2 linked regions of the Caenorhabditis elegans genome follow. The protein of the gene in region 2 purifies or fractionates together with the protein of the main gene of each other region. This does not show direct contact. Each region holds a gene or a part of one and is shown on either strand. Other genes may lie near its edges.

Region 1 (15,377 bases), on a different chromosome or scaffold from region 2:
TGGAAACGGAGACGATGCTCTCGGAACCGGAGGATGTCCAGCTGGACCATCAGGACCACAAGGATCTGCAGGACCTGACGGAATTCCAGGAATTGATGGACAAGATGGATTCCCAGGAGAGAATGCTGAAGATTCACAAAATGCTCCATTTAATGGATGTATTACTTGTGCTCCAGGAAAGCCAGGATCTCCAGGAGAGCGTGGAAAGCCAGGTCTCCGTGGAATGCGTGGACCACGTGGAACTGGAGGATCTCCAGGAACCGATGGATATCCAGGACGTCCAGGAGAGATGGGACCACCAGGACCACCAGGAGACGATGGAAAGCCAGGATCGAATGGAGAAAAAGGACAAGATGTCGAGCAACCAACACCAAGAAAGGGACCACGTGGACCACCAGGAGATTCTGGACCACCAGGACCAGAAGGAGACGCTGGAAACGATGGACCAGTTGGAGCTGCAGGAGCACCAGGACCAGACGGAATCAACGGATTCCAAGGACCAGGTGGACCACCAGGAGAGGAAGGAAAGCCAGGAGAAGATGGAAAGGTCGGAGACGATGCTGCCTATTGTCCATGCCCAGACAGAAACGCTCCAAAGGTAGGATAATCATTAGAATCTAAATAACACTTTTCAAAACTTTCCAGGAGAACTACGCTTCTGCTCCATCCCACAACCCATCAAATGCTCCAGGAGCCAGTTATTCTGCTGGAACCGGTGGATACTCTGGTGGCACTGGACATGCCCAAAACAGCTATGGAAAGAAGTAAAAGCGAGACACTTAATCTTGCTGATTTATCATTTCTTTCTTTATTTTTTCAATTTTTCACACTATTTTACTTGTATTCCTATCATGAGCAACTTTCAAAAATCGAGCATCAGCGGGTTTGAGTCGAGCCTTCAAGTGGTTGAGTCGTCACTTTTTTCGAGCCAAAAGTCTTTCAATAAAGAATTCATTTTTCAAGATTTCAACCGGAATATCACAAAAAATAAAAATTTGCAATGAGACAATTTGAAAATCAGGAAGCTTCGAATGCAAGTGTGATTGAATATGCTTCTTCTTGTACATAAGTCTCCGCATCTGATATATACAACAATGTCTGAAATACTAGAATGTAAATATTTAAATGATTAGTTAATTACCTCTATATTCTTTTGAAGATGTGTATTCTTCACAAAATACATTTCACATGGAAGTTTTCCCATAGGTGGAACTGACAACAGACTATCCGTAATTTTTACAATATCAGAATTTGATGTGGTGATTCGGAATGTCTTTGGTAAACCATATGGGTTTCTTATCGGGATTCTCTGAAAGAAGGGTTTTCGTCAAAAAAAGGTTATGACCCCAGATTGGTTTTTTTTCTGTAAAATCATTTAAATAAGGATTTCTCATATAAGCTTAAATTATACAATATCCAAATAGGTTTATAACCCTAGAAAACGCCATATTCTAAAGGACCTCACTTTGTTTTTTTTTCAAACTATGTAAAATTGAAATCAATTGAGATGAACAGTTTCTATAATATTAATGATTGTTGTAAGAGCTTTAGACTATTCTACCAGGAAAATAGTTGTACTTCGTTATTTTATACATAAACTTCTTCGACAAATTTTTCACACTCTAAGAAGTTGAATATTTTTCATTGACTTATTAGGACTGTCAGGGAAATGCTTAAAGTTCTCGGAAACCAACACAGAGAACACACATACATTTGAGTTGTTCAGTCCATCGGTTTGTTTTCAAATTGAAAAAAAACCTCCTTATAGTCTAAATTTGAATTTTGTTATCTGTTGTTTCTCTGATTCATTTCAAATTTTAATTATTTGCTAGCATGACAATGAATAACAGTAAACAAAAACATTCTTACTGTACACAAATTTTGAAAAAATGTTATTTATTTTAATGTTAGATGTGTTTAGTTTGAACGGATTTTTTACCTTATTCTGAAAGTTGTCTGTTGCATGCTAGCCAAATAAAGAAGTATCATGAAAATCACAGTTTCATGCCCCAAAAAAATTAAATTTAGTGAGCGATTTTGACTTTAAAAAATTCTTGTTATTTTAGTTAAAATAATAGTTTGAAATGTTTGGAAATTACTGTCGATCCAAACTAAAAATCTTTAACATTCAATATTATATAAATTCAACAAACCTTTCTAATAGCTTCATCAGATGATGGAATTTGTATGACAAACTTCTGCGTAATCCGTGGCGCTTCAGACTTTCCGTAAACCAAAAACCCTCGTTCTAACTTCAATGTATTGGTATTCACAACAGAAACGACAAGCTTCTTTGTTCCTGAAACAACACGTGAGGTCATGAAAACGCGGGGGTACTAATCGGATGAGTTTGTGAAATTTGGAATTTTAAATGACTTTGTGGATATTTCTCGCCTGGATGCGCCTAGTTTGCACGTGGAATCAACTATTTTTGCAACTATACTGAACATTTTCTTCATGGCTCTGATGTATGTCTAAGAAGATTAAAATGCAAGGAGAGATAACATTTTTGCGTTTTTTCGACCGTATCAATTTTGTGAGCTTCATTTTTTGGATGTATTTGTTCGTTTTTTGAAATAAATGTACTTATGATCTTTCCTAACTTTCGATTTATTGTCATTTCTTTATCAATATATATATTTCAAACAATTTTTTTGCTGAAAAGCAATATTCGGAACAATTCGATCATAATTGCATTCTGCAAGTTAAAATTGTGTCCCTAATGTAAGTTTCCTGACGACTTAAGAACATGACAATTAAAATTAAGCAATAGATGTATGTAGATTATTTTTTGATTATAATGGGTTGAATAAAAATGTATTCAGTTACATGGATTCAAAGAGTAGTAGTCATAAATAAACTCGCGAGGTGCTAGGTGAGGTAGCATATTCGAAAATACATAACTTTGTAAAAAATGCTAGAAAATACCACAAACATCATCGATAAGCTACCAGCGAATAGAACATTGGCGGGCACTACTGTTTTTTGCTGCACTAAAATTTCAAGACCGATCGACAAAATTCTCCGTATTTGTTTCCAAATTCGGGAACTTCAAACCCAGTATTCGTTTTAGATAAAAAATCATTTTTTTCCGTGGGAGTAAAATGTTAACTGATAACAAAACTTCATACAATTAACAGTCTTTCGACTCCTCCCCACTTTCACTTTCTATTTAAATCCAACTACACCGCACTTTTGCTCTATTTTGGAACATACTCGTCTCAATTTCGACGACGTCAAAAGAATCAGAATTTCCGTCATCAGATAGCGTGCGATTCTTGTATGTAACCTGATAGACCTGCATGAGAACTCGTCCCCTTTTTTGCGACTTTTCTGTCCGGTATTCACTTTTTCAATTTTTTGCAGAGATTTCTAGACGACGTGATGATGTTGATACAAGGACTTGTCATATTTCTTGCCGTGTTCAATAATATAGAATCTAGGAAACTTGAGTTTGTACAAGCACTGTGGCGACATGGAGACCGTGCTCCTCTACACTTACCGTATCCAAATGACCAGTACACAGAAAAAGCTTGGTCAAGGGGATGGGGGCAGTTGACTTCGGTTTGTTTTATTAAACTTTTAAAGAAATGTACTTGTTGAATATTTGTGAGTTCTTACGCGATCTTCTATCATATCACAATAAAATTATAATTACATTTAATTTGTTTCAGCTATAAAGAGTGACCTAAAAAACGGAGCAGAAAAAATGTTTAACATCTCCCAGTGACGCTCAAATAACCAAATATCACAGGAAAAGTGTCAAAATTTTTGGTTATAAATTTTGGATATAGTTTTTTAGAACTGACTATAAATTATGAAAATCTCAAATATCTTATAGTGTTTTAATTAGTTTTTCTGATTGATTTCAAATACACGTTGACAAAACCTTCACTGGCGCTACTTTGCCTTAAAAACCTATTTATTTTAGATTGGAATGCAACAACTTCACGAGCTCGGAGAGTTCTTCCGACACCAATACGTGGACTCTTCATTTATTCCGTCTAATTTTTCAGTGAAAGAAGTAAGAAACTCAATACCATATCTGTAAATTAAACTCTTGAAATTTGTAGGTCTACCTGCGCTCTTCCGATTCTGATCGTGCTTTGGTATCTGCACAAGCATTTCTTTACGGGCTATACCCAGCTTCTGGTGGTTATCAATGGAGCTCAGATATAGACTGGCAACCTCTTCCAGTACATGCATCTACTCCAGGAGAACCTGATTTGGTAACCGTTGATTTTTAGATTTAAACTAAAGTTGTTCTTATGAGGTTTTATCACAAATGCGTCAGAAAGACAAAAGAGATTAGAAAGTACGTAAGAACAACTGATAAAACATTTTGAAGCCCAATTTCTATTTCCGGAGAGTGACTATTCATTATAGACTACATTTACTAAGATAAACTGATTCAGGTGTGCAAACCAACTGCGATAAAATGTGCTCGTCATGAAGTTTTAGTGGCTCAAGGCGATCAAGAATCAAACGCTTATTATAGTGTTAAGTATGCAGACTTCTTCAGTGAACTTTCTCAAACTACAGGATTCAAACACTGTTCATATATGGATATTAATGGATTATTCGATATACAAAGAGAGTTGATTCATAACATGACTGCAAAACAGCCTTATTGGGTTACACAAACCTGGCCTCAATATGACAATCGTACTTCAATGGACATTATAACTGAAATGAGGACCGTTCGAATGATGAATCTATTTAATTCAGAAGAGAAAGGAAAACTTGAAGGAGGCTCCGTTCTTTACAATTGGATTCAAAATGCAATTGCAGTTTCTGAGAGCAGAAATGATCAGAGAATGCTTCTTTATTCTTCGGTAAAATCTAATGGAAACTGAGAAAATCTATTATATTAATTTCAGCATGATGGTGTTCTTCTTGCACTTCTCAATGCATTCCGTGCTTCAAATGAGATGATGGTTCCTTATGCGGCTGCACTTATCATGCATGTTTATTCAGACAACGGAAAATTTTATTCTGAGGTTAGTTGTTCAATTGAAATAAGTTTTATTAGGAAACTTGGTTAACAAAAAATTATTTATATTTTCTTTCAAATTAATGCTGATGGTTCATTTTAATTTATTCAGCTCTACTATCGAAATGAGACTACATCGGATCCATACAGAATTCCGCTTTCCCGATGCCCGGAACCTTGTGAAGTGTCGCAATTGGCAGTGGCTTTTTCAAATATGACAGTTACAAACTACTCGGATATGATGACGGTAAGCATAATCTTCTCATTATAGACCAAAGTTCGCATATTTTCAGTTATGCGGGACTCCTCTCAAAGCATGTGGAAACTCGTCTTACACGTTCAACTCTTTATCATTTTTCTTACCATTTCTCTTAGCGAGTTTATTTTATTCAAAATGAACTAGATCTTAACATTGGTTCCCATGGAACCATTAAATAAATTATTGCTATCTTACATTTTAAATGGTTAATGTTTTATAGAGCAAATTTAGAAAACCCAAAAGAGTTGAGTAAAGATTGACGACAAATATCCTTGGTGTATTTTTCTCTATTTTTGTGTGGAATAACGGTATTGCTCTTTGCACTTTTAGATATTGTAAATAATTTTCTGAACATTTAACGGGTAAATAGAAACGTTTTCATTTTTGATTTGACAGTACGCAAGTGCTCATATGTATATCACATTTTGTTGTATTAAAGGCTTACCAATAAAGTTTGGTGTAAAATCAATTGTGGCTGTAGGTGTTCTTTCAGTGAGCACAGAATCCACAACTTTCATACATCCAGATGCTGTATACACTTTCAGTAAATCATCTGGCACTCCATCATGCTCGCTGAAAATAAACAGATAAAGAACGTAATTCCTATCATTTTGTTTATTGTTCATCTATTCTTCATTTTTTGTGTGTTGTTTTCTTCTGAATCCCCACCAGATGAGAGTGTGGGAGAGAAAAAGAGCGACCAGGTGTTGGAATCCAAGCATTTTTATTTTTTGTTTTCTTCCCGCGGGGACCAAACAACTGGCACATCGTCCTCCTCCGCCTTCGCAAAAGATTAGGAATCAAGAAGAGGCATGAAAGATAGAAAATAGAAGAGGACAAGAGAGCACACAAGGGGCACATCTGCCATTCAGAAATACCGACTCAGGCGCCTGCCAAATGGTTTCCAGGTTTAGTTTCTTTTAATTTTTGTTAAAACTTGAACTTTGTAGTTCACACATTGGATATCAAAAAGTGTGATTTATTTTTTAGTTTGTGCTACTTCTATTTTGTAAGGTGTGGAAGGTTAAAAAACTAAAATTAATACAAAGATCGTCTTATAAGCGCAATGTTGATGGTACCTTTTATTTATTTCGGGAAATGCAATGAAACTCCTATTTATGTATTTTGATCAAATTTAAGCTCTCACTTGTAATTTTTTATTATTTCAATCTAGTACTAGTACAATACTAAAATTATCAATTACAATTACAGTATGACCGACTACGCCTTGGTGCGCTCTCGCAGCGCACTTGTCCGTTCTCGATCGGTTGAACCGAGCTCTCGTCTTTACGTAAGTTCACTTAAATCCTGATTAACTATGAACTGATCAAAAACCTTTCAACTTCTGGTTTATCTCTCTCAATAATGTTACACAATCATCACTTTAGCCCCGTTGGCACCAGGTGCCAATTAAGAGATCACGCGTGAAGGTAACAAAAACAAATGCATCATTTTTCCAGGTCACCCGCACTTCATCAGTCCCAGACTTGACCGCTCACTTCCGTTACTCGGATAAGTACCGTCCACAATGGCATACTGTCTACCAATCGACTCCATACCGCTGGCGTCGTGACTGGGATTTGGTATGAGATGGCTTTCTTTTATTTTTTGAGAATTAAAATTTCAGTACGATGACTACTGGTATGACAAATACTATTACTTCTCTCCACTTTATCGCAGTACCTACTATCCAAGCAGAAGATATTCCTACAGTGATTATCTTCCAAATCCATATTATTGGAACAACTATGGATCTTATTGGACTCGCTACAAGGGATATTGGTATGACTATGACTATCCATCCTCTTACCGTCGATACACTGATTCTGCTTTCAACCGCTACTTGAACTACACCTACACCCCGTATAGGTATGCATAGTCTACAAATTGAATAAGATAAATATGTTTTCAATAGCCAAGTTTTCAATCAAATCAAAATTATTTAAACCAAAGAAAAATTCAAATTTCAGATCGTACTTGATGGACTCATTGAGCACTTCCCTTTCTCGTGGCCTTTCCATGTACAAGGCAGGTTTGTACCGGTATTGACCACTGTCTAAGGTAGTGTAGAGACAGGGCAGTGCCCATTACTTTTACCAAATACAATTGTTGCTTTATTTTAGAACAATTTGGCAGTTTACGGTACTACTAATCCTTTTTCGCCGCTCTATCTCTACACTAGATATTAATGTGAGCACAGGCTTTTGTAGAAATTTTCTTTAAAACATTCAATTTCAGGTCTAATCAATCACACTACTCTTGATGCTTACTGGTTAACACCAAAGTACTGGGATCGTCGTTTTAAAAACTGGCGTGAGCTTTATTGCTCCACCAAGGACAATTATCTTCCATCAACGTACGATAGAAAAACCCGTCAGTACTTTGCACAGTGGGCTTAATGAGTGGCGTGCTTCTAGTGTTCAGATTCTGCGATCGACTCTTTTTCTCTTTTTTTTTGCATTTATACGAACTCTCATACTTTCTCAGTAATAAAATTTAACTAAAATGGCTTACCTTCTTCTGTGCACTAATAAATGAAGACGAGTTGTTTGCCCAACAATACTACGAACATCAACATTGAAGAATGGAAGAATAGTGATTTTCCAGGTAGCCATTAATCTGAAAAGTTGTATTACAATAAAATTATTCCACTAAAACGACAACCTTGTTTGATAATGATCACTATACATCAATAAAAGAAACGTCTTTCGATCATTCGTTTCCCCTGAATATGTTGTGAATCCAACAATCTGTTGTAGTGTCGCATTTCGAACAGTCAGTCTTACAGACGGATCAGAGCATCGACATGACAAAACTCTTCTGTCTCTGGCCATTGGTGGTAGTACTAATTGTTTTTCCCAGTTTCCAGATGTTTCACAAATAAAAGTAACTGAATGTTGAAGAAGGAAATTTCTTCGATGCACGTGGAGATCCAATATTGCTAGTGGTTCTTTTGTATCCCATCTTCTAAATACAACTTTTGTTGAGTACATGTTGAATGCATCATTTGGGAAAAAGAAAGCGTCGTAGATAAATGGAATAAATAAAACATCCCCAGGTTGAAGACAAATCTCAATTCTATCCGTTGTTTGTCTCATCATTTGCTTTTCTGATGGAGTTGTTACTTTGTTCACTGTTTTGTAAAATTTCCATTCTTCTGCATCAAATACTGGTTTCAAAGCTTCATCATCAAATTCAATGGTGCAATTGATTGGTTCAGAATTGTAGTTCTCGAGAGGAAATTCAAAAAATACTTTCTCTCCAAAACTGGGATTTATTTGGTGACAACTTGTAATACCTGCAAACAAAAATATTCGAACGAGAGTGTTATTGAAAATTTGATTTAAGTATCGATAAAATTAAACAAATCTATTGAAAAAGTTACAGATAAACTGAAAGCGTATGGAATATTGGTAACCATTGTATTTCGGAACAGTTTTTCAGACGTATTTTTAATAAATATTTAAATCATCTAACCTTTGAAAACAGCTTCAAGAAGTTTTGCAGGTTTACTTTCATATCGAAGCTTTTTGTATGCAGCTAGCTCTTCTTCAAAAATGAATTTCTGTGCAATTTCTTTATTATCAGAAAAGTTGAATCCTTCTTTTAAATCATTCCATTGTCTGATCTTATCCAAACTATTCTCATTGAACAATTGTTCATGCCGTTGTTGAATATCTAGTCTCTGAGCTGTCAAAAACCGATCTAGTCCAACACCACTATTACCAGGTAATGGTTTTGCGTGAATTCGATAGGAATGGGGTCCTTCTTCATTTAACCGGATTGATGACGTCAGTCGGCGGACTACTGTACCTTGTCCAGAGTTTACGTTGGATCTTGTGGTAGTCAGCGATGAAGAGGAGGAGGAGAGATCTGCAAGTTTTTGACAGATTATGAATTACGATTAGGTGATAAGCAAACATGTGCAAACAAGACACGCGCGGATCTGCCGGAAGTCTTCCGGCACCTAAGGTTTGTATAAATAAGACTCTCAGCCGACTGAAGTTTCATCAGTTCCCATAACTCATCATGCAATCCATTCGTTTTACACTTAGCCTCATAGCTATTCTTGGTTTGTCCTATTTAGTTCAAGCACATCCATTGAGCTCTAGAGAAGCTTTGAAGTCTTCTGAAACTACTGATTTGGCTCTACCTGGATCACATGAAACAACCGAAGTAGCTCTGCCAGATGTCAAAACAACTGATATTGATACTCTTGGAGAATCAAATGGAAGAGTGAAACGTCAGGGAGGAGGTTGTGGATGTTGCGGATGTGGATGTGGATGCTGCTGTTGCCGTCCACGTTGCTGTTGCTGCTGTCGTAGATGTTGCACTTGTTGCAGGTTTGTTGTTTTCATTGAAATTATGAACTTTTCAATTATAATTTTATTACCTTCTTCCAAATAATATCTATATTTCAGAACTTGCTGCTGCACCCGTTGCTGCACTTGCTGTCGTCCATGCTGCTGCGGATGTGGATGCGGATGTGGATGCGGATGCTGCGGATGCGGAGGAGGAGGACGTAAGCGTCGTTCCCTCCAAACTCTCAAGATCAAGCTCGCCGAGAAGGTTCAAAGAGAAGCTAGACAAATCGAGCAGATCCCAGAAACTATTGCTCCAGTTGAGATCACTGAGAACGTTGAGACTCCAGAAACTGTTGAAGAGAATAAACCAGAAGAAGTCGAGACAGCTACTCAATGGCCAGAGCCAGTTTACGAGCTTGTCACTGAGACATGGGCTCACTAATTTCCTTTTTCACTTATTTATCTAATTTAATAAATAATTTTGAAAAATATTACCATATGTATTGCCTGACGGAAATCCGATATTGGCAACTCTCATGTAAAGGAAAGCCCCAGCTTTTGATGAAGTGTCTAAAGATGTATCAACCACTGGGCATTGAATAAACAACTGAACAGCTTCCCTTCCTCTTCGATACAAATTCTTGATTGGCACAATAGTTGATCCCAAGTGAATCAACGAGTCTGAATCCCATACATCAATAGTTGCATGACCAGAAGCCATAAAATCCAAAAAGTCAGCCTTGCTTTCTTCTCCTTCGATTATATATTTTGCCTGAAACGTTTCTTTTTTTAAATGTAAGACATGGAATCTTACTATGAATCCAGGTGAAGCTATAACATCCGAATTCCCATTTTTATCAAGTCGGGTTAAAAGGGTTGGTTCTCCTTTCTCCATAGATGTGAGAAGCATTGACTCTGTTGTAATATCGGGGAATCGGTAAAACCCGATTGTGAAAAATAACTTCTTAATCATGCGAGCATCAGGAGCAGCAAGTCTAAAATGTTGTAGTTGTAGTTTTTTTTAAATACATACTGTTGCGTTTGACCTTGAAAATCTAGTCTGAATAGAAAAATATAACAATTTTATGCGATAAGTAAATTGACCCCAAGCTCAAGAAAATTAACTACTCAATTGAAATATGATTGTCGTTCAGTGACTTCAGTCATTGAGAATTTTTAAGAATTCAACTTACTGTTTGAAAGCAATAAATTGAAAATATACATGTGATGTAATGAGTCTGTCCAATTGCTCTCTTTTCATATCGATGATGGTTTTTAGTGTCACATCTTCAGTATTTGGTGGTGATCCGTTCCTGTCTTTCAACTGAGTGAAGTTTTGTCTCGCAAACATGGAATGGGCAGATCTTGGGAAGTTTATTGGTTTGAGCTCATCAAAAGGAATCTTGTAAACTGATGTTATTGGTAGAGGTTCTTCTACTGGTTTCTTTGCAACAACTACGTCTTGAACTGGAATTTCCATTGGTTCTTCTATGAATCTATTCAAATCCTCATTTATTGATCTCAATTCATCTACTGATGAAACTGATCTTCCTGTATCTACTAGTGCAGGGAATCTATTCGAATTTTCTGGACTTCTAGGAGTTTCTATTTTCACTGATTTTCTATTTGATCTAGCAGATTGGCCATTATCGCCTGATCTTCCAGTTTGAACTCTTGCAGAGTCAGCAGCCCTTCTTGATGTTGGTGTATTGTGAACACTTCTTCCATTTTCATAAAATTTAAAGTCCACAAAAATTTCAAGTTTCTCATTCAATGGCTTCAAGGAGTCTGGTTGATTCAATACGTTCTTATAACATAAAACGCCTTCTGGATTCGGACGTGGACCACCAACAAAGCTAACTCGTGTCTCCACTTCTTTTCCAGAAAAGGCTCCATCTGAGAATGGAGTCCATGCAGCCCATCCGATTAGAATAGTCTGATTAAGGCTTTGATTGTCTTCTCGGTGAAAGGTGTATTCAAGCAAGAATATGATAGCCATTCTTGGATCCGCATACAGATTTCGAAGTGCCAGACGCGGGTTTCCAGCAGCTTGAAATAGCAGTTGTCTGAAATTATGAAATTATGAAAAATTCTTCTTTTACGACAGGACAAGATTTTAAAACTTACTCTTCCCAATTTGATGATTTCCCAAAGTCAATAGGTTTCTTTCGCGATCTTAGAGTATCACCAGCATTTGAGGAGATTATTTCCAAGTCAACTGTGAATGGTTCAGTGACATATGTGTACCCATTGTGTACTCCGATCTAATAATAAAGTATAAATAAAAAGATAAACGATTACTTGTTTCTTGCAAAAATATTTGAAAACCTGGACGAATTCAAAGTAATGTAAAAATGATTCCTAAGTTTCACTGCACCTTCCGTGTAACAGCAAATATCATGTTTTTAGCCAACTTTTCACCAAAAAACTCACTCTCAATTTTCTATCCATTATGATTGCTTTTGGTTTAAGAGTTCCTCCTTCTTTCAATGCCCATTCTTTTTCAATATCATGTGTAATTTGTTTTTCTAATTCAGGTACATTATTCTTGAATTGAATTACAATTGCATCAATTGCAGCGGGAATTGTTGGCATCTCTTTTGGCGTGCTCAACCACCATTCTGACACAAAACATTAAAAAATTAAAAAAAGGAATATTTGTTAACTAACCATCAGAACTGTCTTTGATTATTCCAGGAATAATGTCTTTGTCGCAAACAATGCAAAATTCAGGCAAACATTGGAAGAATATGGGTGGCATTTCGAATATGTTGTATGTACATTCAACATTTCCAACTGGTTTTAAAACTGTTTCTTTATCAAAAATTAATAGTTTTGGAGTTCCACCAAATATATCGAAACTAAAGTAATAAGAAAAATTATGTTGGAGCAATAATTAAAAAAACTCACATTTTAGTGTTTGATATTTCTACGGGCGTTTTCTTCTCGATATGCGTTGAAAACCATCCAACGCTTGTGGCAGGCGCTGTAATTTTTGTACTTTTCGGGTTTTCGAATGTTCTTCCATCTAGAAAAGTTTAAAATCTAATTTATTTATTGTATTTGCCCTATGCAAGGAAGAAAAATGTTTCAATTAGTGATTTCCAAATGTTTATTTTTAATGCGAGTTTATTTTATCGTGATATAAAACTTATGTTAGTATAAATTTACTAAATTGTGCATTATTTTGAAACATATGGTCATAATGATTCGGAAAATTCTCTGAATTATTGAGAAGTTATTTAAAAAAATAATGACTGAAAGACAAATAGGAGCTAAAAAGCTATTTTCAAATATTATTTTGAATGAAAAGCCAATAAAACATTATGATAAATAAATTTAAAATGTTCCTTTAAAAATTTAACAATTAAATAACTTACTTATTTCGTCTGATCCTTCTTCCACAAATTCAAGAATAAGAAGCACATCTCTGCTGTTTATAATTGAGTAAAAATATAATGTCTGCAACATATTCCAGTTATTAAACAAACTTGTACAATTTCTACTTCATTAAAAACACAAGTTCCATTACTATTCGCTGGAATCCATTCTGTTCTACATTGCCTCCCAAACATTTGAGAAGTCTTCGTGTCGAATAAAAAAGCACTAATCTGGTATCGAATGTTCTCAGTCAGCTAAAGTATTAAAATCATATATTAATTAATTATATCGTTTACACATACCTGTGGAGATGTCAAATTGGAAATGAACATTGAATAACACAAAGCTTTAGTTCCTCTCGAAACATTACGTTTCATTTCAACTGGCCGGTTTGCCAGAAACAACGAATACCAGTCGTTGACCGACATTTTTCGAGACTTTGTTACCACAAACTTTAGTATTTTCAGCTAGTTTCTAGGCAATAATATATAGAAACTAAAAAATAAACGTTCAAGAAGAACGATAGAGGAAATACGATAGAGAGTGAAAAGAAGGAGTATACGAATTGGAGAGCGGGTGCTGGTTGTCATGGAAATGAGAAGTCCCAGCTGCTGGGAACACGTTGGATTACGTATATTGAGCATTAATTTGATGTAATGTGTAAATTGTTGGGAAATGTTTATATACTGAATAGTTTTGATTATGCTATTGCATTTTGTATTGAGAGTCGTCGTTAGAACAAGATTAGATCAAATCACTTGATTTTTTTTTCGAAATTTTTTTACAGAAAACTAAGTACTTTTCTATTTTGAAATGTTGAAATGATGCCGTTATCCTTTAAATAAATATAAATCACAATTTTCCACGAAGTATGGTTAGCCACTTTGGATGAGAAACTCCAGTTCCTTTCTGGAAACAACTCACAACTAATTTTTTTTAATTGGTCAAAACTTTTTAAATGTAAACTGGAAAGGTTCCTAAAAATTACTACCTGGGGTCAAGCTGAATTGAGGAACATCTTGGCCACACTTCGTAAAAATTCTATAAGTATCTTAGTAACTCCAGTGAAAAAGTTCAATAAGCCGGCAACAGTTACTAGATTTCCGTAAATTGTCTATGAAAGTTTAGACAGGAGAAACCTCTTAAAATTGGGACAAAATAGACTCTAAATCAAATTATTATTGAACATATTTTTACAATAGCACAGATCGTGTTGCAGTGATTAATAATGTTGTTGATATCATCTGAGAAAGTTCAGGTTCTCAGAAAAATGCAATCTCAAAAATGTACTTTCCCTGATTTTTCCTAGTTTTTTTTCTTTTTTTTCACTTCAGTTCACCCCCGCGATTCAAAGTTTACAAACAGCTGCTGCCGTGTACAAAACGTGATTCAGACTTCTCTATGACTCAGATTCCACTTTTTTGAAACGAGAAATTGTTTCGGTCGTATTCAAATTTAAATTTCAATACCCAATATAAGAATATGATGATGATGCATCAATTCACTGTCCTTCCATATCCCTCAGAATTATCCCTCGAAATCTCCGAATAAGACGTAGAAGACGTCAAAACAAAAGGGAAACTTTTTGTCCCTTTTCCATCATCTTCTCAATACTCCTTCCATAAAAGTCCTTTATTTCCGGGGCGCACACTCACACGCTGCTGCTGCAGTTGCCCCAACATAGGCCATACGTACCCAATTTTATAATCCATGGGAGTCGGGCAAACAAACTCAATTCGGTCATCTTCTCCATCTGTCGAGTCTCTGCTCATCCCGAAGGGAACCGTCCTGCTTCCGTCCGTCCCAATGTCTGTGTCTCTTCATCTCCATTGACCAGTGTCCTTGCCTCTTCGTCCTCTATTCCCGCCGCTCGTCCGTTCTTATACCCTTCTCTCCGCTCACTCGTCACCCGCTGACTGACCGACCGGCCAACCCGACTGAATCATCATTTCTTTATGTGTCTTCTTTCTCTCTATATTTAACAGTGTCTTCGTACACCGGTTGATGGTGCGGAATCATCGTTTTCACCATATTCACTTCTCACTCGCAAATACCTCAAAAGTTTGCTTTTTGTGACTTTTTGGCTTCGCAACTTTTTTATTTGAAAATTTTTGAGTGTGAAACATATATTCAACATGGCAAATAAAAACTAAGTTTCTTCATTTTCGGTCGAAATTTTAATTTTCGAATTTGTTTTTTTCTTAAATTTTATTTAAAAAATAGTTATTTCCTAAATTGCCGGCATGTGAAACATAATCCCCTATTAATTGTTTTGTTTTTTCGTTGAGTAAACACCCGAAAGGCCTCACAGGCCCCACCACACTTGTTTCTCGCTATTTTGCGAAAGGATTTTTTATTTTTTTCATTGAAAATTTAATTTTTAATTTTTGAAAAGTTAGAGTAAAGATTTTTATTTTATATGAGTCATTTTCTCAAAGAA
Region 2 (15,105 bases):
AACTGGCCATTTCCACAATTTAAGCCAAAATTCAAATTAGTTTTCAGCCTTGTGAACGCGAATTTATGTTGCTCTGTTCCCCGTCATCCCATAAAAAATCAGCCGTCTTCCGTTTTATGACTACTTCAACACACAAAAAATCCAATCATCATTCCATTGCCACGTCATAATTGAGGCTTATTCAATTTGTCTTCTTCATGTTTACTCACTCCTTCTCCTTTTTCAGAGTCTTTCAATTTCAAATTTTCAGAACATTTCCTGATTGAGGTGATGAGAAGTTGTGCTTAAGATTTTTAATAAAACAAGTATCGTTATAAATCTATATATTTTCAATGGGTGCCACATTATGTGCACCGAAAAAGAAAAAAACCGTGAGTTTTGAGCTTGATTCGGAAGATGAACATTTCTCAAAAATTTTTGGATTTTTTACATTCTTTTCAAAAAAACAGTACATAAGAATAGAGAACTACAGTACTCTTTAAAGACGCACAGAACATTTTAAAAAATTATTTTCCAGCAAGTCGGAGCATCTTGGGTCGGAAACGAATCTGAAAATCCATTTGACTTAGCCCTCAATAAAAAAGACCGTACTCTGTTACGTGAAACTTGGCAAAGGCTAGATGATCCGAAGGATATTGTTGGTCTTATATTCTTAGATATTGTCAATGATATTGAACCGGACCTCAAGAAAGTGTTTGGCGTGGATCGGGCTCCGCGAGCCGCGATGCTGAAAATGCCGAAATTCGGAGGGCATATTCTAAGATTCTATGAGTTCATGGAGCAGGTTAGCTGTCTAAACTACATTTTTAAGAGTATTTTTTGAACTCAAATTTATTATTCCAGCTCACGTCAATGCTTGGCACGTCTGAAAATCTGACGGGTGCATGGCAATTGGTACGAAAAACGGGAAGAAGTCATGTCAGACAAGGGTAAGTGCGCAGGTGCAAATGCCGTCACTTTGTATGATTATATAGTCCAATGCCATTTGATGATTTTTCAGTTTCTTGGAACAAAATCAGAACCAGATGGAGAAGAACTATTTCGAAATTGTTATAAATGTATTTATCGAGCGATTAATTCCATTTCTGACGGGTGAACAGGTGAGATTGTGGGATCAGTTAGGTCAAGCTAGTTTGAAAGTTCAACTAATTGATTTGTTGGAAGGTTTATTTGGAGTACAACTCAATCAAATTATTTTCTAATAAAGGAATTAATTGAGCTTGATTTCTGAAAAAATCTATATAATTCGAAAAAGAAATTTTGCGGTCGAGAAGCATTTTGAAAATTTTCCCGAACGTAGATTAGGATGTTTGTGAGCGAGGAAATTACTTGAGCTGTTTTCAAAAAAATGTTTGTTTTTCTTTTTAAAAAAGGTGCAATTTTTGATCCAGTTGGGCAAAATAGTTGCGGGTTTTTTCAAAAAATTAGAATAATATTTTCAAATAAGTATTTTTAAATGTTACTTCAGATCGGATTTTTTAGTTCTTTGTGATCCTCTTCCTATAAATTCTTGTAGATACCTATTCGAAATAAGATTGTTTAAATTAAATTGGTTTTTTTTTCTAAAAAAGTTCATAATCTCCCCTCGTAAAACAAAAAACCTTTTCACCCAACAAATATGATTTTAGGAGCTTCCATCATCAGAAGGAAAAGAGAACAAAAAAGTGCGATTTGCTCAAAACTACACCACATCTCAAATCACAGACGTCTGGAAGAAGTTCTTAAACACAGTAATTAGTCAAATGACTGACTCATTTGAATTGGAAAGAGCAAAACAGAAGAGTGCACAAACAACAAAAGCCTTGGCTCCACATCAACATATCGAGATTTCGGAAAGGAAGAAGAAGAGGGTGGCGGTATGTTATTAGTTGATATCATACATTTGTTAATTTGATATTGGCATTTTCAGGAAAAACAAAGCGAGATTGAAAATACGGCAGTTTCAAATGAACCAAAAGCTCAAGAGCAAATGTTCGAAGATCCATTCTGAAAGTATATTTTTATAGTGATATACCATATAAAACATATTGACACTGAAAAAACACTGATAAATAAAACTGATTAAATTTATTGAATAAATGATTTTTTTTTGATTTTGTAGCACATTTAATGCACAAAAATGAGCTAAGCTTTTTTTGCTATTGCGTCACACAAAGACATGCAATTTTGGAGACAAAATAGCATTGCTGAATTAGGTTTAGATACATTTTTATGTGAATTGAAAGTCAGAGCCAATTACGTTATAGGCCGATTATTTTTCGAGTTTATGTATATGAGGTTTTATCCTCTTGAGGATCTATTCCATTTCGGTAAGAGGATTCAAAAAAAGTCAACTAACAAATCACTAAAAATTCAAAATACATTTTTCCGTCGGCAACATTTTAAAATCGTAATTATTTTGCCAAGATATGATAGTTACCTAAGCGTTTTTTGTGCTGTAAGTAGGACGTCAAGTTTGAAAATGCAAATTTCATTTTTCACCAATTTTTCAAACGATGTTAAAAAAGAGTATAGAATATTGCTTAGTTTGCTCTCCAGCAACCACAATTCACGATACTGAACAAGTTTTTTTTTAACCAAAATATTTATTAATTTGTTGAAAATATAATCTAACAAATTATTTAAACCGTATTTTTCAATTTTCTCAGGTCAATTGTTCAATTAATGCTCTTGAGAAATGCAATGTCAATGTCATCTCGGCTTGCACAATTCCACTCCGATCGTAAACTGAATTTGAATTCAATTATAAGAATGAGATACTTACGACAAATGACTAACCATCAATTACAAACGATTTGTTCTGTGTGTTGTTTGGCACTAAAATCAAACTTCCGAAGCCGAGCTCCTCTTCGTCGCCTGGACTGATCTTGATGATGGTTAACTCAAATTTGATGCTAGCACGGATCCATTGATCGAGAAGAGAAAGTTGACCACGCGTCAGGGTGTATTCTGAATAATTGAGATTATCGGGGTTAACTTTAGAGAGTGGCATTTAAGTTATTTTCTAAACGTACTTCAAAAAAAAAACCAAACATTTTAGAAGAATTTTTGAATTTTATTTTTTCATCCTCTGAATCGCCACATTTCAATGAACATTAAAAAAATTAATAATGTTTCAGTCAAGCTCTGAGATATGAGCTCTTGAAGTTGAGCTCTTGATGCACCATGTTCAAAAACTAGGTCCTCCAACTTTAGACGTTCATATCTCAAAAAATTGTCACAAAAATGTAAGTGCTAAAATATTTAAAATTGAATGTTCTATATTTCTGCTTAAAGAATTGTTTCAATACCTTTGAATTGAACTGGGGCCATAGATATCAAGCAGATAAGTATTTTATACTTCCCATAAAAAATCTCAAAAAACTAATACCTTTTGTATATCGAATATCCACCATTTCTTGTGGTCTTCTCGGAAAATCAAATATCGTACTCTTCGACTGCTCATTCGTAAAATCCAAAAATACCCAATCAACGAAAAACGTCGTCTCTTCTCTTGTCAATGGAGTCAGACTTGATCCGGGAACAAGTTCAAATGTTTCCAATTGTATTGAAACTTTCATATTCGGTTCCAGTACATCTTTGTCGGTTGGTGACAACGGTTTTCGCACTTTGATCAAACTATGCCCTTCATAATCCGGCAGTGGAACAGGTGCTTTTTCGGCGCGACGTGGTGATGAAGTTGACGAGGATTCAGATGCTGAAATTCAAAAATAGGGATGTGGAAAAGAAATTTCTATTCGAGGGTTTGCGGCTTCTATTTAATATGCAGTAATAAAATAACTAGAATTCGACTTTGAACACGTTATAACATTTGTGTCAAAACATGAAAAGCTATAAAAATTATTTGAAATCATCAACTCACGTGGAACTGAAAAATGCAACGGATCTGTGAATAAAATTCTTCCTGTTGAACCTTGTTGCCTGGTAGCTTCTGGTTGCTCAGTCAACGCAATTGGTCCAACCGGTATATTCCTGGGTTTTGCAATTGGAGGGAGAGCTCCAAGAAGGCTCTTGAGCTCTTCGGTTTTTAACTCTCTTTTTCTATCTTCCTCGGTTTCAGCTACCTCGTTAGGCTCTGATTCCACCACCGGCTCTGGTTCTGGCCCTGATTCTGGTTCTAACTCTGGATCTACAGGTGCCACGTCATCCGTCTTATCAACAGATCGTTGTGTCACTGGTGTAGACTCCTTACTCTCGTTAGTACCATTTGGTTTCAAGGGGTCTGATGGTCTTGGTGTATCCTCCGGAGAAGGAAGGTTTTCTACTTGTCGCTCTGGAACTTCTAGAGGCTCGGGATCTCTCTGGGATGATACTGCTGACACCGACTCTATTCTGAAATTAAAAAAATGCTTTAATAACTATATTAATTAAAAATTACTCGTCATCATCATCATCGAATACAATTCTATCAGCTTCTTCTTCTCCATCGGAATCAACAAGCGCAGGTGTAACTGCGGGTATCTCGTAGTCGTAGGTTTGGGGCTAAAATAGAAATGTGGCTTCAAATAAATGCTGATAAATATTCTTACATTTGTTGGAGGGCTAAACAGATCTTTTGAGCTATGAGAGAATGATGTATCTGATGAATCTGTTGACAACCTTCTGAGCGGTGCAGTTGTGGGCTCTGGAGCTTTTGGAGGCATGGAAGTTGGCTCAGCATCATGAAGTTCAGCTTCTTTAACAGGCGTCACCACAAACTCTTTGGATGTTCGCCTGACCGGTTGAGGAAGGATCGGAGTATCCTTAACTTCTTTCAGTGGTTCTTTTGGTTCATGTTTCAAGAAGAATGATGGGATTTCGTGTTTCCAAATTAGACAAAGATCCAGCGATACAGAGCTTGGTCTCCCATCGGTGTCAAGCATTGGGAATGTTCCTTTTATAGATCCACCGAGCTTGCAAAGTGGATGAAGTGGAAGGTGTAAAGTGGCAATGACACCGTCCTGTCTTGGAATATTCTCGATTAGGAAGAAGGAGATACTCTGGAAATTGAATGGGTTTCTTTAAAATCAAACAATTTTTTATAATTCACAGTTATAAAAATTTCAGATGTTTTTTAATGTGTTCGCAAAAAATTGCCGAAATCCCTGGTTATAGTTATAGCTCCTGAATCAGAAACTTAAAAAAAAACTCACGGAAGTTGCAAACAAATTCCTTGCGATATCAATCTTTGGGATGTAGCAATCCCGTTTAGATCTTATTTCAGAACTTGTTGAAAAATCGGTGAAATACGGAGAGAAGGACAAAAACTCGTCGACGATACAGAATTCAGTTGATGGATCTTTTCCGAAAGTATCCAGTCCGACAACTCGGTTCACCATAATTGTCAGTGGGTCGAAATTAGTGTCTTCTGTATCCTCATTTTCAAGTTGCAGTGGGAGCATATTTCGAGCCATTTCGCTTTTCTGAAAATGTTTTTAAAAAATTATATTGGTTTATGTTGAGAATATATGATATTTAAATATTATGTACTCTCCCTCATTAGTATTTCTCATAAAAGTCTTTAATCTTACCAATTTTTATTAGAAACATTATGAAAGACAACAAATACAAAAAATAGTCACAGAAGAAAATAATATTGAAACCGGTACAAAAATATTAAGAAATGATTAGACAGAGTTGGACTTGCGGAGGTACAGTGGAATACGAGATGAGATGGCTGACTTTTCGGTTGTGGTCTTCTTCTCCTTGACATATTCTGGCATGTAGAATGGATTTGGGACAAGATTTTTTGGAGCAGGAGAAGAAAGCTTTGAAGATCCAGCAGATGAAGACACGAATTCTGGGTCATAGAACGGATTGACAACCGATTGAATTGGGCTCGGAGAACCGGAAGATGAGCCAGACGATGAAAAATTGCTGGACACTCCAGAGTCTGATTGGCATCCATCAGAATCGTAGTTGCAGTTGTCTTCGGAATAGTATTCCTCCATTGCCATTTGCTGCCGGAACTCATCTTGGCGAAGCATCATGAAATCTGCCATTTTTCGAGCATGCTCATCAAGACAAGATTTCTGATGAACATTGAGCCGTTTGTTCCGTGGAAAGAATTGGAACCGACTGGCATGGCAATAGTAGAAATATACAGGAATAGAAGTGTAGTCCATTTTTAGAAGACGACTGTAGAAACTAGCGAAAGGAGAGCTAGAGAGCAAACTGACTGGAAGATAAAACCAGAATGAATGATATTTGTTCCGGTTTACCCAATGGTAAGGTACGGTAAGCCACACCCCTCGATTTGCGCGTTCCAGAAAGACACACCCTCCCTTACAGTCATCGTCTCTCTTAAGGTGGAGGTAGAAGAGGTGGGGGATGGTTGTAAATCCAGCAACAATCGTGGGAGAAAGAACACATGATAGACTCTGCAGGAAGTGGAAGGGAGGCTCTGGGAATTTGCGATGAACTATAGAATAACAATATTGGAATGGAGTAGAAATAATAAGTTCATAAAAAAAGAAATACAGTGCTTCCTCTATTGGTATTGCACCTCACTACTTCACTATAAATCTCGGTTCATTTTAACGATGTCAGGAAATAATTGACTACAATACAATAGAACAGGAGATAACAAATAATTAGTCAGTTAGAAATTTTTTGTCTAGAACATATGCCAACAGATTTATAAGCGGCAAAGGAAAACAAGTCAACGTTTTACAGAATTTATACAACAGGTACAGAATTCCAAAAACCAATCTCACCTTGAATTTCTTAAAGCTATCAGAAATCGGTTGTGAAACTTCAATTTCGTATCTCAACGTGCACATTTCGACGCCAGTATCCACGGATTTCAGCATAATTTCGGAGCAGAATTTTCGAAGAACACTGTCCTCAAACAAGGGAATAAGGGAGATTGTGGCAGCGGCTAAAAGCTTGTAGCAGTCACTTGCCGGTCGGTACATTTCGATGACTATTCCGTTCTGAAAATTAAATTATTGCATTTTTTGTAAGGGAATTGGAGTAATTCGTTTAAAAAAAATTGGCTTCAGATTATTCAAGTTCTAAAGAAATTTTTTGGAAAGTTTGAATACCGAATTTTTTTTCTAATTAATACACTTCTTCATGTTTCAAACATTTTTACAAAATATGAAATGTAACTTACCGTTTGCAAATAATGAATCAAAAGATTTGAAACCAAGACATCATAGACCGTTGTGAAATCCATATTGTGTTGCTTTGCATCCATTATCGGAGTGGTTTCTAATTGGAAGTCAAAGAATTCCAAAGAGAAGAAAAACTTGGACGTGAGAGATGGAGATGGCTTCACATTTATTAGTTTTACTGATAAATCCGTGTTTACTCGAGGTGTTGGAATGTTAATCTGAATAACAAGTTATATTTTTAGTAGGTTTTTTTTTAAATATTTTCCTCTAATAATTTTTATAACAACTTCTGTCCAAAATGTATATCCATGCACATACAGAACAAAGTTTACCACAGTTACTCTGACATAAAAACACTCTTGAAAGTTTTGAGGTGGAATATCGAAACTGTTTAAAACCGCTCCTATAGTGCCAAAATGTTCAACCAACTTTTAAAATGTTCTAGAAGTTATTACCTGATTTGCCAATAGCTTAACAGGCTGTTGTCCTGAATATGCTATTGTTCTTATTTGCTCCTCAAGCATGAATATCTTCTTTTGCCTCTCTTCAACTTCCTCCCGTGATTTTGAAAGTATTTCTGCGCTGACTGTCTTCAACCTGTCTAGTTCATCTTTGAGCAGTTTTATCTGGAAATTGCTTTGTTAAAAATACTTTTAAAAATTATTGACAATTTTCACCTCTTTCATTTGTTTTTGATTGATATCATATTGAATCAACAACATATTTCTGACTTTCTCGAGTTCTTCGTACAGCTCAGAATACAGTTTTTGCCATCTTGCAAGACTATTTTCACTAGCTCCAAGAGTATTAATTTCAGCGATTCCAACATCATGAGAATGTAGAATATCAGCAACTTCTTTATATAATTTTTGAAGAAGATCATCGTCAGCTCTTCGCATTCGACTTATTTCACTCTGTGAATGCCGTTTTCGAATTGGCTCAAATGTCATTGGAGGTGGGGAGTGAGAGATCCTGTAAATTGAATATCTCGACTAGTTTTTTCATTTTTCTCAAAAAAGCAATTGATAGTTGTTTCAATCTATTACATCAATTTTTGTTTCTATCGTTGTCAAATTTTGGAACTTTTACTAGATGTAAATTACCGGAACTTGGCGAAATTTAAAAGCCCCTGTGAATAAGAGAAAGTATTTTTGAAAATGTTTAATTTTGAAAAACATTTGATTTTTTCAACGTAACATTATCTAGTGTGTACTTTTTAAGCCTTATTACGGCCGGTTCTATTAATAACTTTGTATGCAATCTATTTTTGCGTACTATCTTCAGATTCAATTATATTATATCATTTTTGGTTCTAGATTTCCTAGTCACAAACAGCATTGTAAATCCCAATTGTTTTTGATTCTCACGACCCTTTTCCCTCTCCCATGATTAGTGCTTGATTTACAACCATCCCCCACCTCCTCTAGCTCCACATCTTTATAGGAAAGGGAGACGATGACTGTAAGGGAGGGTGTGTCTCTCTGGAACGCGAAAATCGAGGGGTGTGGTTAACCGTACCATACCATTGGGTTAACCGGAAGAAAAATATAATTCATTCTGGTTATATCTTCCAGTCGGTTTGCTCTCTAGCTCTACTTTTCTTTGCTTACTTCAGTCGTCTTCTGAAAATGGACTACACTTCTATTCCTGTATACTTCTACTATTGCCATGCGGGTCGATTCCAATTCTTTCCACGGAACAAACGGCTCAATGTTCATCAGAAATCATGTCTTGATGAGCATGCTCGGAAAATGGCAGATTTCATGATGTTTTGCCAAGATGTGTTCCGCCAACAAATGGCAATGGAGGAACACTATTCCGAAGCCTACTGTAACTACGCTTCTGATGGATACCAAGACTCTGGAGTTTCCAGCAATTCTTCTGGCCCATCTTCCGGTTCTTCAAGCCCAATTCAGCTGGTTGCCAATTCGTTATATGACCCGGAATACGTGTCTTCATCTGCTGGATACTCAAGCTTTCTTCTCCTGCTCCAGCCAAGCTCGTCTTAAACCCATTCTACATGCCAGAATATGTCAATGAGAAGAACACCACAACCGAAAAGACAGCCAGCTCATCTCGTGTTCCACTGTACCTCCGCAAGTCCAACTCTATCTAATCACTTCCTAATATTTTTTGTATCGGTTTCACATGTATTTCCTTCGGTGACTTTTATTTTTGTATTTATTTTTCATTTAATTATTTAATACTCCCAATAAAATTGGTAAAATTTACAATTTGCTTTTTCAAGTGCTCGCAGAAATATGCTACAAACATGAACAATGTTGGAAAAGCTTCTCACACAAATCAGTTTTCATTTAAAAAAAAACCAGAAAAACTTACTTTTCCTCTTCTATCCTTTCCTCCTCAACTTTAGAATTCTTCGCCACTACCGAAAGTTTCTTCTCTGTCTTCTTCGCAGCATCGTATTTATTTTTATAATGCAATCTCATAGCTTCAAACTTCTTCTGATCTTCACGACGTCTGTGTTCACTTTCCTTGATTCTTTTCTCAGTCTCTTTAAGAAGCTCCTCTAGCTCAACAATCTTTTTCTTTTCTTCTATACTTTCCCGTGCTCCGTACTCCGTAGATTTTGATAGGGATCTGGAAGAAAGCATATAATCAATAAAACTAGCATGGTTAATATTGACAAAAATATATCGTCCATTATGTGAAAATGTGTTTATTACGATTTTCACAAAAATACTTTTTTAATAAAACCATTTTCATTTGAAAACATCACCTTTGCCTTGGCTTTAACAAGAAAAAGTTGTCAATTGACAAACTCGTGATTGGGTTTACAGTGGTGTAAATTTAAAAACTAAAGTACTTGTCAAAAATGATGCCATAGTATTTTTTGAACAATTTTTGAATTTGGTAAGGGATTTTAATAATATCCGAATTGATAAAAACTTACTGATGCACGAGCCGCTCGTTCGCTTTTTTCACTAAATCACATTCCTCTTGCAGCATAGCCAAGTCATTCTCAGCCACTTTCAGCTTATCCAACAGCACTTTTTCAGTTTGATCTGGGATACGAGGTGGTGGTATCGGGTTTTTCGATGGTTCTTGATGTGATGATTTTCTAGATTTTCTTCTCGGCTTTTTCTTCTCTTCAATAACTGGCGTGGATCTTCCCGACTCGTCATCACTCATTTCTGACATTTCTTCAAGTTCTGAGTCTTTTCCTTCACCGTCATTATTGTTGTTGGAGGAAGATGATTTGGAGGATGATGATGTAGACAGTCGAGTTGGAGGAGATGACTGATTTACAGATGATTTTAGCTGAAAGTTATAGATATAAAATCAATAAAAAACGAAATTGGAATGTAGGCATACCTGTCTCAATTTTTCAATTGTATATTTTAACTCTGTAATTTCGTCATTTTTATTCTTGAGAGTTCGATTCAATCTGACAATCGCGAGCTTCTCATCCGTAGCAAGTTGCAGTTTTTCACCTCCATCAGATTTTCTGAAAAGAAAACAGCATTGCATTAAGTTTTATTATTTTTAAGAACATTTACAGTCTAAGAAATTATTCAAAATCTCACTTTCTTGCCACCGGAGCGGAACCTGGCCGATCAATAGATCCAGTAGTTCCAGCAGTTAATGGAGGTCGTTGTCGAAATGTTGATGGTGGCTGACGAAAAGTTGATCTTCCAGTCATCATTGACGCAGTTGTAGCTCTTGCGGATGGTGCTGTGTAGATCAAAAGTTGTTGTTTGGCTGCTTTCAGTTTCATATCAAGAATCTGATTTTCTTTCACCACATCGTCATATTTCGAACGTTCCACTACTTTCTCATTTTGGCTTTTTCGTTCCAACATACTTCGGCGAAATCTGCTATTGAATCTGGAACAAAGGATGGTTACTGTGGATGGATGTTTCCGAAAACTTCAGATTAAAGATGGAGTGAGCAGTTACGTTAATATCGAAACAGACCAACTTCATATTTTCAGGTTTTGGAAAATTTCAATCAAGTTTCTGCAAGTTGCCAAATTTACGGAATCTAAAGGTTTTTGAAAAATTTGAAGCAATCTCCATTTTCCACCTATTTTAATACGAAATATGAGTTGAAAATAAAATAAAATCGAATGTCAATTTGCAGTTAGAATACGCATTCACACAAATTAGACGTAGGTATTTTTTTCAAGACATACAGGCATTTTTGTGCCTACGTAAAAGTTCTATTCGGAACAAATTGAATACATTTACTCACGTTGTAATCTGTTTCTCCTGCTCTTTAACCTTCTTTTGTGCCTTGTTGAGCTCTTCAACAACATTGTGAAAGTGGTCTTCCAGCTGTGGGCGGCTCCATTTTTCAATAGGATACCTTGCGGATACCCTGGAATTTTGTATTATTATTATAAGAGGTTTCAACACTTTAAGTCTCAATATTATCTCTCCCTATGCCGTTTTTCATCAATTAAAATAAGACTCCTAACAACATTTCGATAACCTAGAAAGAAGATGCAAAATCTAGTCCATGGAAAGTAAAAAAGGATGAAAAGAGATACTCACATTTTTTATAATCACTGCAATTCCTTGGAGACGTCAGGTTAGCATGAAGTACGTATGAGAGAAATAGAGATTTCAAAACGAAGAGGAGGGGGGTACTTTGCATGTGGTTGCCATGAGCAACCATGTGAGGACGGGCGAAATGGGGAAGGAAGAAGTAAAGAGGGATTGATTAGCACGCTTGTATGCGGGAAACCTTTCCGTTTAGTGAGAAAGGGGGTCACGGGAGGATTAGAAAATGAGAAAGCACCGGAACACCTGCCTAATTGATGCTCCATTCTCGTATTCGGCATGGTAATGAGAATTTAGTCTTATTTCAAACAAGTTTTCAAACTACCGGTGAATATATAGACTCGAGTCTTTTCTTTTTCCCGCCACGCAGCAGTAGCTGGAATTGTTTCCAAAATATAAGAGAAGTCCCTCAATGTGGGGTTTAGACAACTGCCTACCTGCCTGATTACATGCCTGCCTACGTGTCGGCCGACCCGCTTTGCATGCCTACAATAGGCAGTAACTGGCGAGTAGTGGGAGACTCGCAAAAAACCTATACATGCCTTCCATACTTGCCTACATGACAACCCCATATACATCACATCTCTCATATAAAAAAATGTACTCTCATAGTCCGTGTTCAAAACTTTATAAATCTCATAAAAGGAAAAAAATGCTCATTTATTCACAATAACTTGATAAGAAGAAACAATTCAAAACACAAACGGAAGAAGCAAAAGAATAATCGATATGGTGATCGATGCAGCATTGTTATTATTGTACCGGTCACTTGATGAGGTGTCTCTTCGCAATTGATTGTACTTACATGAAGCTGGTAGCGTATTCCAACGAATTTTCAGCATTTTGAACATTGCCTCCCGATTATTTTCGAACATTCTAGCAGTTATCTGGAACAAAATAAAATTAGTTTAGATGAATTTGGAAAGTCGGCAAAAAATTGCCTAAAACTGCATAAATTTAAAGAAAATTTAAAATCAATACCACTTCACTTCGATAGCCGCAATACTTCCCGTGCTCCTGAATAAAGCAATGGGAAAAATGCTCAAAGTCGCTGAAATATTTTCCAATTTAGAAAAAAACAATTTCTGTTCGGGACTTACATGCAAATCGTTTCAATATTCTCTTGAGTCTGATTTCGGGCAAACTTTTGCATATCCATTTCCAATCGAACTGTTTGATCTCTGCACACACTTGAGAGCCGCTCACCATTCTCCTTCCAACACGGGAATTGTGCACGGACCTCTGAAAATGAAATGGTATTTTTTAAAGCTCCAGGGAAACGTGGAGGAATTTCAGGTTTTTAAATGGTCTAGTCGGATTTTCCCCATTATAGTTACATTGAAAAATGTTAAAACTAACCTTCCAAATTATTACAAGCATCGTGCCAAGATCGAATACCGGCCAAAATGATTGAAGCCTCTTGTGATGTATTGCATTTTCTGACACAGATCTCTAGAAAGCGATTGCTTCTGGAAAGTAGAAAAACTAGGTCAACTTGAAACATTTAAAAGCTTCCAAAATCTCAATCACTAGTTGTCTTTTTTAGAACATTTTTAAGTTGTAAAACCCCAATTCTGGGTAATGTGCAACTAAATTGCTGTACGAATATCATTATCGTGAATCCATTTGCCAATTCTCCACCACCACCAATTTCGTCACCTCATAACCCATTTCATAGAGCATCATCATCTAACCCTCTGCACTTGTTCGGAACACGTCCCCGGAGACATCAAACGGATATGGGACAAAACGGGGTATTCGAAAGTGAAAACATACGTGCAAATAGCCTTGGCCTTTATGAAAGCGGCCGTCTCGTTGCCAGTCGTTTTGAGAAGATTTAAAAGTGGAAGAGTGAAATCGTGAGACCATTCGTTGTCCATCTGGTTGAAAAGTTATTAATTTAAAAATGTTAGTTTAGAAATTTTCTAAATGTTTTTTGCAAGATGAAGTGTTTTCATTAGAAAAAAGGAAATATAAAATTTTTTGGAAAACTCCCAGGCAAAACCTTTTAGAAAGAAGTTTTTTATGATTTGAGCATTCCGGTTAGGTCGGCAGTTTCGAGATAAGCGTATGAACCATGGCTGTGCGGCAACCGAGATTTTCGGCAATCGGCAACCAGGTTTCAAAGTTTTTTTTTGCTAAAATTATATTTTTGAGCGTTTTGGAAAAATGTATGGTCCGGTTGCCGCACAGCCATGGCATAGACAGTAAAATTGCGTTAAGCCATTACTAAAAAATTGTGTGTACTTTATACGCCAAAAGTTTACAGATGTTTCAGAGTTTTTGTCAGTTTTGGTAAATCACCGAATTTCTAATAATTTTGCTTTTTGAGAAATCTTGATCAATGCTGCATATTAGAACATAGAACTTTAGCCATTCAATCACAATATGAAAGTTTTTAGAATTTTCTGATACTACGATAATTGGTCATTTTTGCACCAACTTTAATATACAAAAGGTTCTAAATTTTAATAATTTAGCTTTTCATGACCAAAAATTTTAAAACTTAAAGCATACCTATTACTATAAGAGTTTAATTTTCCTTACCTCCATCATATGATTATCCTTACACCTTAGCACACAATGATTGACATGAAACTCATTCTCCACAGCCTCCGCAACGAATATCAGAACTGGCAAGAAAAGAATCAGGAATATGGAACGAGATGGGAACATCAGAAGAACCCGAGATTTTGAAGACAAGTCACTCGGGACGATGAAGACTCGGATAATGAAGATGTGAGACGATTCGAGAAGTGAGAAGAAAAAACATTTAGTTGCTCTTCTACGACGATGTCTTCTTCTTCTTCTCGTAATGGATCTAGAATTGTAGTTGGGTCGTCGCTGTGTTTCCAAATGGGATTCTTCTCCTTGTTCAGAGGGCTCTGCTCAACCCGAAAAAGGAGGTTATCTTCTTCCTTTCTCTCTCTCTCCCCCTTCAATTCACTGACTCTTTTTTTTCATAACCCGAGGCGACAACGGGTGGCCCCATGGGGACTGACACACTTTTATTATAGATATGGGACAGGGTCCCGCGCGGAAACACAAGAAAACAGATGGAGTTGTAGGAGAAAACGAGAGAAACACTCACCTAGAATGGGAATTTGTGAAAGTTGCGGGAGAGGCTTTTGGAAGGTTTTTCCGCTTTTATGTCGGACAACTGGAAAAACAAAGAGTCATGAGTTTTGGTCAAACAACAAGAATAAACAAACGAATTAATTTGATTGAAACAATTGCGAATGAAAGTGAGATATATTCTGAAAGATAAGAAATTAGACTGAATTAGGAAAAATCATTGAAATTTAGGGCAAATCGGCAAATCGGCAAAGTACCGGAATTGAAATATCCGGCAAACCGGCAAATTGCCGATTTGCCCAAATTGCCGGAAAAGGGCAATTTGCCGGAAAGAATGCAATTTGCCGAAAATTTTCTGCAAACTGTGGTTTCGCACTAATTTTTTTGGAAATTTCAGAATTTCAATT

Evidence for each region.
Region 1: the proteins of mks-5 (region 2) and nphp-4 purify together in Caenorhabditis elegans (affinity purification with western blotting, with the first as the bait; one study listed by BioGRID). This does not show direct contact.

Annotation. Positions count from the first base shown.
Region 1 is NC_003283.11:11,830,261-11,845,637, forward strand, and holds nphp-4 (uncharacterized protein), read right to left. Parts: upstream 13,469-15,377; 5' UTR 13,366-13,468; coding exon 13,240-13,365; intron 13,192-13,239; coding exon 13,063-13,191; intron 13,019-13,062; coding exon 12,937-13,018; intron 12,543-12,936; coding exon 12,467-12,542; intron 12,418-12,466; coding exon 12,227-12,417; intron 12,178-12,226; coding exon 11,990-12,177; intron 11,821-11,989; coding exon 11,684-11,820; intron 11,623-11,683; coding exon 10,750-11,622; intron 10,552-10,749; coding exon 10,371-10,551; intron 10,329-10,370; coding exon 10,052-10,328; intron 10,044-10,051; exon of another isoform or gene 9,999-10,043; coding exon of another isoform or gene 9,674-9,998; intron 9,596-9,673; coding exon of another isoform or gene 9,282-9,595; exon of another isoform or gene 9,260-9,281; intron 9,126-9,259; coding exon 8,730-9,125; intron 8,551-8,729; coding exon 7,917-8,550; intron 7,872-7,916; coding exon 7,767-7,871; intron 7,761-7,766; exon of another isoform or gene 7,652-7,760; coding exon of another isoform or gene 7,491-7,651; intron 7,443-7,490; exon of another isoform or gene 7,442-7,442; coding exon of another isoform or gene 7,376-7,441; intron 7,314-7,375; and 37 more. Other genes in the region: col-158 (Nematode cuticle collagen N-terminal domain-containing protein), read left to right, coding at 1-598, 646-768; pho-8 (intestinal acid PHOsphatase), read left to right, coding at 3,385-3,564, 3,932-4,024, 4,074-4,229, 4,416-4,835, 4,881-5,000, 5,106-5,240, 5,287-5,391; R13H4.2 (uncharacterized protein), read left to right, coding at 6,150-6,160, 6,465-6,543, 6,713-6,835, 6,880-7,121, 7,223-7,284, 7,491-7,651; idpb-5 (Intrinsically Disordered Protein, class B), read left to right, coding at 9,282-9,595, 9,674-9,998.
Region 2 is NC_003280.10:10,716,790-10,731,894, reverse strand, and holds mks-5 (Protein fantom), read right to left. Parts: upstream 11,665-15,105; 5' UTR 11,617-11,664; coding exon 11,615-11,616; intron 11,439-11,614; coding exon 11,313-11,438; intron 10,946-11,312; coding exon 10,646-10,945; intron 10,567-10,645; coding exon 10,434-10,566; intron 10,380-10,433; coding exon 10,012-10,379; intron 9,699-10,011; coding exon 9,438-9,698; intron 9,107-9,437; coding exon of another isoform or gene 8,726-9,106; intron 8,070-8,725; coding exon 7,775-8,069; intron 7,724-7,774; coding exon 7,553-7,723; intron 7,316-7,552; coding exon 7,097-7,315; intron 6,915-7,096; coding exon 6,696-6,914; intron 5,403-6,695; coding exon 5,133-5,402; intron 4,980-5,132; coding exon 4,530-4,979; intron 4,483-4,529; coding exon 4,379-4,482; intron 4,333-4,378; coding exon 3,863-4,332; intron 3,698-3,862; coding exon 3,371-3,697; intron 2,950-3,370; coding exon 2,779-2,949; intron 2,728-2,778; coding exon 2,645-2,727; 3' UTR 2,566-2,644; downstream 1-2,565. Other genes in the region: glb-12 (GLOBIN domain-containing protein), read left to right, coding at 333-371, 518-784, 844-929, 1,001-1,100, 1,629-1,856, 1,910-1,990; C09G5.14 (C2H2-type domain-containing protein), read left to right, coding at 8,726-9,106; C09G5.13 (DUF19 domain-containing protein), read right to left, coding at 12,316-12,510, 12,605-12,674, 12,724-12,865, 12,983-13,092, 13,400-13,503, 14,171-14,299. UniProt on the Caenorhabditis elegans protein: Thought to have an important role in cilia formation and cilia-mediated chemosensation. Involved in the docking of other MKS/MKSR proteins localized to the transition zone of the cilia.